Kluyveromyces lactis: one gene and its partners. The main gene of each other region encodes a partner of the protein of the gene in region 3 in a complex. Links are inferred from orthologs where the notes say so. Each region holds a gene or a part of one and is shown on either strand. Other genes may lie near its edges.

Evidence for each region. Proteins that work in one complex are often made in the same cells at the same time.
Region 1: SPT14 (region 3) and GPI2 share a complex: the UniProt entries of both Saccharomyces cerevisiae proteins name them as parts of the phosphatidylinositol N-acetylglucosaminyltransferase (GPI-GlcNAc transferase) complex. The link is inferred for Kluyveromyces lactis from reciprocal best matches to the Saccharomyces cerevisiae genes SPT14 and GPI2.
Region 2: SPT14 (region 3) and GPI19 share a complex: the UniProt entries of both Saccharomyces cerevisiae proteins name them as parts of the phosphatidylinositol N-acetylglucosaminyltransferase (GPI-GlcNAc transferase) complex. The link is inferred for Kluyveromyces lactis from reciprocal best matches to the Saccharomyces cerevisiae genes SPT14 and GPI19.

Annotation. Positions count from the first base shown.
Region 1 is NC_006041.1:2,090,659-2,093,556, reverse strand, and holds GPI2 (phosphatidylinositol N-acetylglucosaminyltransferase), read left to right. Parts: upstream 1-1,554; coding exon 1,555-2,373; downstream 2,374-2,898. Other genes in the region: PGI1 (glucose-6-phosphate isomerase), read right to left, coding at 1-314; KLLA0_E23497g (DUF5315 domain-containing protein), read right to left, coding at 851-1,246; TAF5 (chromatin modification protein), read right to left, coding at 2,561-2,898. UniProt on the Saccharomyces cerevisiae protein: Part of the complex catalyzing the transfer of N-acetylglucosamine from UDP-N-acetylglucosamine to phosphatidylinositol, the first step of GPI biosynthesis.
Region 2 is NC_006038.1:89,374-91,666, forward strand, and holds GPI19 (phosphatidylinositol N-acetylglucosaminyltransferase GPI19), read left to right. Parts: upstream 1-1,372; coding exon 1,373-1,768; downstream 1,769-2,293. Other genes in the region: PPZ1 (salt homeostasis regulator), read left to right, coding at 1-694; PSP2 (Psp2p), read right to left, coding at 2,149-2,293. UniProt on the Saccharomyces cerevisiae protein: Part of the complex catalyzing the transfer of N-acetylglucosamine from UDP-N-acetylglucosamine to phosphatidylinositol, the first step of GPI biosynthesis. Involved in cell wall biosynthesis.
Region 3 is NC_006039.1:839,579-842,904, reverse strand, and holds SPT14 (phosphatidylinositol N-acetylglucosaminyltransferase SPT14), read left to right. Parts: upstream 1-1,452; coding exon 1,453-2,793; downstream 2,794-3,326. Other genes in the region: KLLA0_C09735g (uncharacterized protein), read right to left, coding at 1-1,038; NIP100 (Nip100p), read right to left, coding at 2,811-3,326. UniProt on the Saccharomyces cerevisiae protein: Catalytic subunit in the complex catalyzing the transfer of N-acetylglucosamine from UDP-N-acetylglucosamine to phosphatidylinositol, the first step of GPI biosynthesis.

The DNA.
Region 1 (2,898 bases), on a different chromosome or scaffold from region 3:
CCTTCAGTGAAGTTGATTGGTTCACCGTTGAACATGGCATCTCTCAATGAGGTGACCTTAGCTTCCTTAGCCAATTGGATCAAAGACTTCAAGATTTCATCGTCAACTAAGTTCTTGGAAAAATCAAACAAGATCTTTGAACCATCGTAATTGACAAACGTCTTGGCAAACTTTTCATAACGAGAATTGTCCTTAGCAAACTCGTCCTTAACATTTAGCTTTTTACCCTTTTGTTCGTACAAAGATTGCAATTGGTTCCAGGCTGGCAATTCAGTTGCCAACTTGAAGTCAGAGTAAGTGTTCTTAGAAGCCATTTCTGATATTTGTCTTTTTATTTCTGTTTTAGAATCTATCTTAACAGAACTTTAAAACCTTTTATTGTACTTTACGGTCAGTTAAAAGGTCACTTCAGAATTCAGCGATTAAACCCTAATCACAAATTCCTTTCTACGTGACTCAAGAATACAATCGAAATACCAATTGGAAGAAGCAATTGATCAAGAACCTTCACCAGAGAATATATATATATAAAGAATCCACGATTTAAGTTAACCATTTCCCTCAAATTCGCAGGTGATGGAAAATACCAAATCCTTTTTTTTCTCAACGTTCCTATTATTTTCCATACTACGTTCAATCATCAATTCGTATATCCCATCGTTATTCGGAACAACTTGTAATTTCTGTCAGCTTCCGCTTTTTTTATTTGTTTCGCACCATCCAGTAAACAAATAGTGAAAGGCACGTAGAAGAAACCGGTGGTCCTTGGAAACCTTAGCTTCCACTAATACTCAACAAAAAGTCAGGGTAATTGTGGCACGTGATTCATCACGTGATTTGAAGTATTTATTCAGTTATATCTCTCAATGGTATCTACGATATCATTGATGTGTTTCTGTTGTTCTTCAAGATTTCCTGGGGTCTCTGTTGATTGTCTCTTCATGTGCTGCATCAAGTTCGCATGCATCTGGCGTAAGCGGGTAATATCCTCTTCGAAATTATCCGGGAAAGTAAGGCCAGTATTGCCCTCTCTGGCCATTCTTTTCACATCATCTAGTGTATCTATATCTGTCCATATCCTATCCTTGTCATCCACTTTTGGTGTAGCATGTACGTCGTCTGGAACGGTATCCTTGGGTAAAGTTCTCGGTATGGCTTTAGAATCCGTAGGTCTTCGTTCATTGTTTGAAGATTGCCTGGTTACCTGATCAAACGAATTTGATGTCTCCCTGCTAGATTGATCCATTGGGTATATGTAGCAATGAGTTGAGCAGTAAGTTAGGCTATATCCTTTGTATCTTACTTGTGCGGGTGCTCCCGCTGGCTGTGCTGTGATATTAAGTTGTAATGGATTAGCTTTTTTACGTATCAATCTCTAATTTTAATGATTCGAAAAAGCTAGCGACGACTGTTGAACTGAAGTAACTTCCTGCACTCGCAGAGATTTATCGCGAGTATAGCGGCAAATCTCCAGGTTTCTTTTGTCCAGACTGTAGTGACTATATTGTGCTAGTCGTTTCCCGAATAACAAATTGTCTTCTCTTATAGTTGTTAATGGCTGCGGGGAAACAATGGAAACGGTTATTGTGGTTGAAACAGCCGTTCCCAGATACCTACACTGATCCAAGTTTCTACAAACAATGGGAGAAGTTGAAAATTGAACATGGGCATTTGAGGCCTCACTCCTCGTACAGGTCTGTTTTACTTGATCTCTTCCAGTTTTACCACATGATTATTAATACTATGTTACTCTATATTATATTTGCCTGGTTCTATCATTACAAATACAATCCGATTTTAATTGCTGCCTCAATTTCATCTGTTTCCTTAATAGTTGCCAACAAGAGGGTACCCTGGAAATCCACTATCATCATTATATTTGCAATGTTGACCTTATCTCCAGTGCTTAAATCTTTGTCCAAGACAACTTCGTCCGATTCCATCTGGACTCTATCTGCATGGTTCACAACCTTTTACATCATATCGATCTCCGCTCTTGAATCTAAAATCCTACCGACCAATATTCTACTCTCAAATGTGACCGTACTTTCTTCAAGATTAGATACCTCCACCCAAGTTTTCTGTTTCCTTTTGATATGTATCCAAATTAACATTCTACTGCCGACGATGGAAAAGTATTTCATAAAGAATAAGTTGAAATTCCTGCATATACTATGTGTTATTGCGACACATGGTACAGTCTACTATTTTATAACGAAGTTAATGGGTGTCGGGATCACGATACCTTTGGGAATATCATCTTTGTTACTATTATTTGGAATCCCTCATTACTATATCCACTGGGAAAGCTACTATTATAAAGGACATCCGATTTTACAGCAGTGGGACGCTGAAAAACCAATATTAGATTAGTTATTAGGATTCTGTTAACATTTACATTTCATTGACTGCATTGATATCAATGCACATAAAATATACGTACTCATTGTAAATAATATAAAGATAAAGCGCATTCTCTTTTTTTTTATTTATTACAATTGGACAACTACTAGATATGTCGAATAAACGACCCTTATCTGGCTGAGTAAAGTAATCGCATTTACTCAATAAATGCACCACCAGCCAAAACTAGGTTCGTTCTTGTGAATTTTACTTTGTGAATTGCTGTTTTCTTTGTATGGAACGAAGCCATCAAATCCTGAGTTGGTATTACTGCCCGCCTACGTCCGAATTCTTTGATATCGTTATTTACACTGAGTTCCATATCTCCTGAATACGTGTTGAATTGTTGTTCCGGCTCCATTCCAGGCTCGTTTGTAAACCTCTTTATATCCCAAACTCTAACACTTTGATCCGCACCACCTGTTACTAGACAGTTACCTTCTTTGTTAAAAGTTATGGAATAGATAGGATTCTTACCGTGACCCTTCATCTGTT
Region 2 (2,293 bases), on a different chromosome or scaffold from region 3:
GCTCTTACTTTGCTATAAAATCAAATACCCTGAAAACTTTTTCTTGTTAAGAGGTAATCATGAATGCGCAAACGTCACAAGAGTTTACGGTTTCTATGATGAATGTAAAAGACGGTGTAATATCAAAACTTGGAAAACATTCATTGACACATTTAACGCATTGCCCCTAGCTGCGATCGTAGCCGGGAAGATTTTCTGTGTTCATGGAGGATTATCACCAGTATTGAATTCAATGGATGAAATTAGACACGTAAGCAGACCTACTGATGTTCCAGACTTTGGTCTAATCAATGACCTTTTATGGTCGGATCCAACAGATTCTCCAAATGAGTGGGAAGACAACGAACGTGGTGTGTCTTACTGTTACAATAAGGTTGCGATCAACAAATTTTTGAATAAGTTTGGCTTTGATTTAGTTTGTAGAGCACATATGGTCGTCGAAGACGGCTACGAGTTTTTCAATGATAGAAGTTTGGTAACGGTATTTTCTGCTCCAAATTACTGCGGAGAATTTGATAACTGGGGTGCAGTAATGAGCGTGAGCGAAGGTTTATTGTGTTCGTTCGAGTTGTTAGAACCTCTAGATAGTACCGCATTGAAACAAGTCATGAAGAAGGGCAGACAAGAAAGAAAGCTAGCCAATCAACAACAACAACAACAACAACAACAGCAACTGGAACAAATACAAGAGTGAAGATCAATATGTTGTTTTCATTACCAACAATCACATATCGATGTCATACTCAATTTAGCATTGGTGGCTTGATTAACAGTCACATTAAATACTTTACAGTGTTTATTTTACATTCTCGTCATTTCTTACCAAAAGAACCATCTCAATGATATCTTATTAAAGGACAGTTATTAGTGAAGAGTCCTTTGGGTGTTTTTGCCATGAGATTCAACAAATATATTTTTCAGATGTTGAAGCTTTCCCTTACTAATCTTCGTCTTTATTCGTAACTACTACTGTGGAGATTAACACTTACATATTCGATTCTAGGAGTTAATCCTAAGTGTTTTCCTCAAAAACAAATCTTTCTAATAATGACTGGCAAGAAAAAGTCGGCAAGTGTTACGGAAAGGACACCAGCTCGAACCGATTCCCAAAAAATCACCTCTTATCTACTATGTGACATTTACCGTTATTTTCAAACATTTTCGTCTGCCTTTCCTATGTCGACTGCGTACGAAACTAAAATAAAAAAAATCGATGAACAAAATCAATAAACACTATCGTTCGTTATATAAATGTAAAATAAGAGAGTAATTTAGTAATAATACCTAACCATCAAATGTTTGATTCCACTTTGATCACTTCAAACCATCTCTAAATATATTAACGCTCATTATCACTTACTTATGTTTTTAAATGAATAAAGAAAGACAGTATGGCGGATTTTCCGTATATGTTTCATCCACATTAGTTGTCTTCTTTATAGTTGTGTGGGCATTCTTACCAAAGATTATACTACAAGGACAAGCCATAGCCGAAGTTTACGAGATATTACCTCAAAGATATTGGTTAATAGCCATCCAATGTCTTGTACTAATGACAATGCTTTTCACTTACGTCGGAATGCTTTCCTATAATATTGACATGTTAACGGTCCCACTTGATGATATGCGAACGATAACTGATACTCAAGGGAGAATAGTTGAATACAAAAACTTCTCGGAGTTAGATTGGTACATCACTAATGAAACTAGCGGTGTTGCAGATTTACCCATAAATGAAGTAAGCCGAGTGCTTTATTTGCAGGAATGATCCTCTGAATCTTCCTTAGAACAAGAAAACAGTATGGGTAAAAATGATGTTGGTGACGTTCTTAAATGTTAATAATGTAATCTATTTAAATGACATCAAATACTATACAAAATATAATGATTAATGATGCGTGAAACGCAAGGGATTTGGATGACAGGAAACTTTTCTTATCCCGTCGTACTTCGTTGGAAGACGAACATATAGATGCTTTCGCTCTACCGAAAGATAATTTCTACGTGAAAATCAGATAGAGATGATGAATAACGAGGAGCTTAGGAGCATATGGTTTCCTTCACTTACGTTCAACTGCACTTCAATGCGCGTTTTAGACAGCGCCAGCATTGCTGCGGAAAATTTCGATATTATGAAAAGGTAAACGCTCAGTCAGTGGAAGAAGAACCACGGCCTCTGCCGCCTCTGCCACCCCGGTCTCTGCCGCCACGACCTCTACCACGACCACGACCACCAGATGAAGAATGACCACCTCTGTTTTGATCCTTCAAGAAACCAGCTGCTGGAGCAAAT
Region 3 (3,326 bases):
CTTTGGCGAAAGAGTGCTCCAACCAGGAGACAAAGCATCACCAGTACCGTACTGAGGAATCGCTACTGAGAGTTTCTGTATGACATCACCATCATTTCCAAAGGGCTTTGATATAAAAATAATACCTTTGATACCATGTTTTTCAGCGACAAGTATCTGCTCACTAGGTAAGTTTCCATATTTCATAACGAGAACAGTATTGTCGGAAAGTAACCCGTTTTCTTTCAATGATTGGATATCAGCGACAGTCCCATAATTTGCATATATTATATCGGCATTCTGAATGTTCCCGTTACTGCTTAATGGGTTAAAATTTTCCTTTGATAAAGCAAATTCATGCACTTTATTGTCCGAAGTAGTAACGCTAAACTCAACCTCGTTTGGGAAATTCATATATCCTTGGAACGGAACCTCCTTCATTAATTTTAATCCATTATTTTTGAACGATTCTCTGATATAGTTCGTAATAGCATAATCACCTTTAGTACCAGCTAAATGAGGCATGCTGCTTAAGTATTCCATATCTTCCTCTAACTTCGCATAGTCGATGGAACGTCTCGCGTAATAGATTAATTGGTTTTTATCCGAGAACATTCCGATAGTGGCGGTGCTCTTGCTATTGGGCATCAATCCGCTCATAACCACGGTGTACACAATCACTGACATGAAAAGTATATACACAAATCTGCGGAGGATTAAAGGATTTCCCAGTTTGCTCAAATATAGATCAACCTTCGCAGAAGCCATTTGATATACCTGTACGAGAGGATCGACAACATTGTTCTTCATTGGAAATATCAAATTATCCTCAATTCTGGTCTTTAACCTTTGAAAACGACCCACTGAACTAATAGTATCTTCCTGTTCTATATCAAGTTCCATTGGAAGTATATCAGGACGCGATTCGATGTCGTATTCAGGAGGATTTGGCGGTAGTAAAGATTCATCCAGGTCAACGACATTTTCCGAAGACACATCTGGAAGACTGACATCCTCATCTTGACTGACGCCTTGGTACCGCCCTTGTGCACGAGGCATTTTTCAGGCTTTAACGAAATGCTCTATTCGCTGGCTTAACGTGGACCAACTAAATATGCTTGAAATCTCACTGCTTACTCGATAACCCCTCAAGATAATATTCGGAAGTGTATTGGAAAAGGTTACGTTTCCAAATTTCGAGGTTATTTTAAACCTTCTGTACAAAATACTCATCGAGACAACCAAAGATCGAAAAACAGTCAACAGAAAGTGGTAAAGAGTGAGGAGTGAAAGTACAGATTAAGTAACGCTAAAGTAAAGCATATTGAGAGATTTAAAACTTCAGTGCAATTATACAAATATTCTTTGTATAGTCTAACAAAAGTTGTAGCTCCAAAACGGGTTAATCTGAACGATAAATTGTTTCGATATATTAAACACTTAATTCATATCAAACACATCAATGTCTAAAGAATGGCTGAACAAAAATACAACATAGCTATGGTTTGCGATTTCTTCTACCCGCAGCTTGGGGGTGTTGAGTTCCATATATACCATTTATCTCAAAAGCTAATCAAAATGGGGCACAATGTTTGTGTTATAACTCATGCCTACGGAGATCGAACAGGAATACGATATCTATCAAACGGTTTGAAAGTTTACTATGTTCCATACTTGGTACTCTATAGACAGACCACTTTTCCAACAGTATTTGGAAGCTTTCCTATATTCAGAAATATTTTGATTAGAGAACAGATTGATGTATTACATTCGCATGGAAGTGTTTCCAGTTTTGCGCACGAAGGAATACTACACGCGAATACAATGGGGATACAGACTGTGTTTACAGACCATTCTTTATATGGATTTGATAGTCTCGGTTCAATTCTTGTCAATAAGCTACTAAAATTCACTTTATGCAACATCGATGCTGTCATTGCTGTCTCTCATACTTGTAAAGAGAATATAATACTCCGAGCAAATCTTGATCCAGATAATGTGTCAGTCATACCGAATGCGGTTGTTTCCAGCAGTTTCAAGCCTAGAGATTCAACAATAAAGAAAAAATCTAACAGAATAACAGTAGTGGTGATTTGCAGGTTGTATACCAATAAGGGAGCTGACCTTTTGACACACTTAATTCCAAAGGTTTGTACGAATAACGATAACGTCGATTTCATTGTTGCTGGAGATGGGCCAAAGTTCATTGCATTCCAACAAATGATAGAAAATAATAGGCTTCAGGAACGCGTTCAACTTTTAGGATCTGTGCGACACGAACATGTTAGAGATGTCATGTGCCAAGGGGATATATACCTGCATGCAAGTTTAACTGAAGCATTTGGAACAGTTTTGGTTGAAGCTGCGTCGTGCGGGTTACTAATAGTAACAACATCTGTCGGTGGTATACCGGAGGTCCTTCCTGAATATATGACCGTATATGCCCAGGAAACCTCGGTATCTAGTTTGATAAAGGCGATGAACAAAGCGATACATCGCATAGGACATAGCAAAGTTAATACAACACAATTTCATGAAACTATCGCACAAATGTATGACTGGATGAATGTGGCTGAAAGAACCGTCCAGGTTTATGACAGGATATCTTTAGATGTACGCTCCTTAAACAAGAATTGGGTCGTTATGCTAAAAAAGTATTATAGACAAGATGGAAATTGGGCCAGATTATTGTATGTTCTTTGCGCTATAGTGGAATATATTTTACTCTATATTTTAGAAATTCTATATCCAGCAGGTGATATTGATAGGGTTGTTAAATGGAATTCCCGCATTTGTAGAGACCCTCATATATAATGATTAATGATTAATAATTAATACTCACCTTTGAGCATTTCGTATGTATATGTCACACATAATTCATGAGTTTCTTTCAATTTTGCGAGCCTGTGCTTCCTAATGGAGGTAAACTCATTAGAGATGATAGGGTCTGCTAACTCAATGCACGTCGATAAGATATTTGCCATATTGTTGAAATCATTGAACATGTTTCTACTGGAAAACTGTTTTCGATGAGTATCAAACAATGGTATGGACAATTTGAGGCGAGATTCTTGTTCTTTTCGAAGAATAATCCTCTGTAAATCTGAGATTTCAGCGATCAATGATAATTTATCATTGTTTTCTCTAAGCGATTGGATATTGTTTAATGCCTTTGTATGAAATAAATTATTGGCGTTCTTTATTTCTTGTTCTCTATTGTTGCGATACTGCTGGTACTCCGCCTCCATGTTCACCAATTCATCCTGAAGGCTAGAGTTTCTTGATTTCACTTCTAATAGCTCATTTTTCAAGCTGGATAAGGAACCTTCCATTTCCTTATTCCTGGC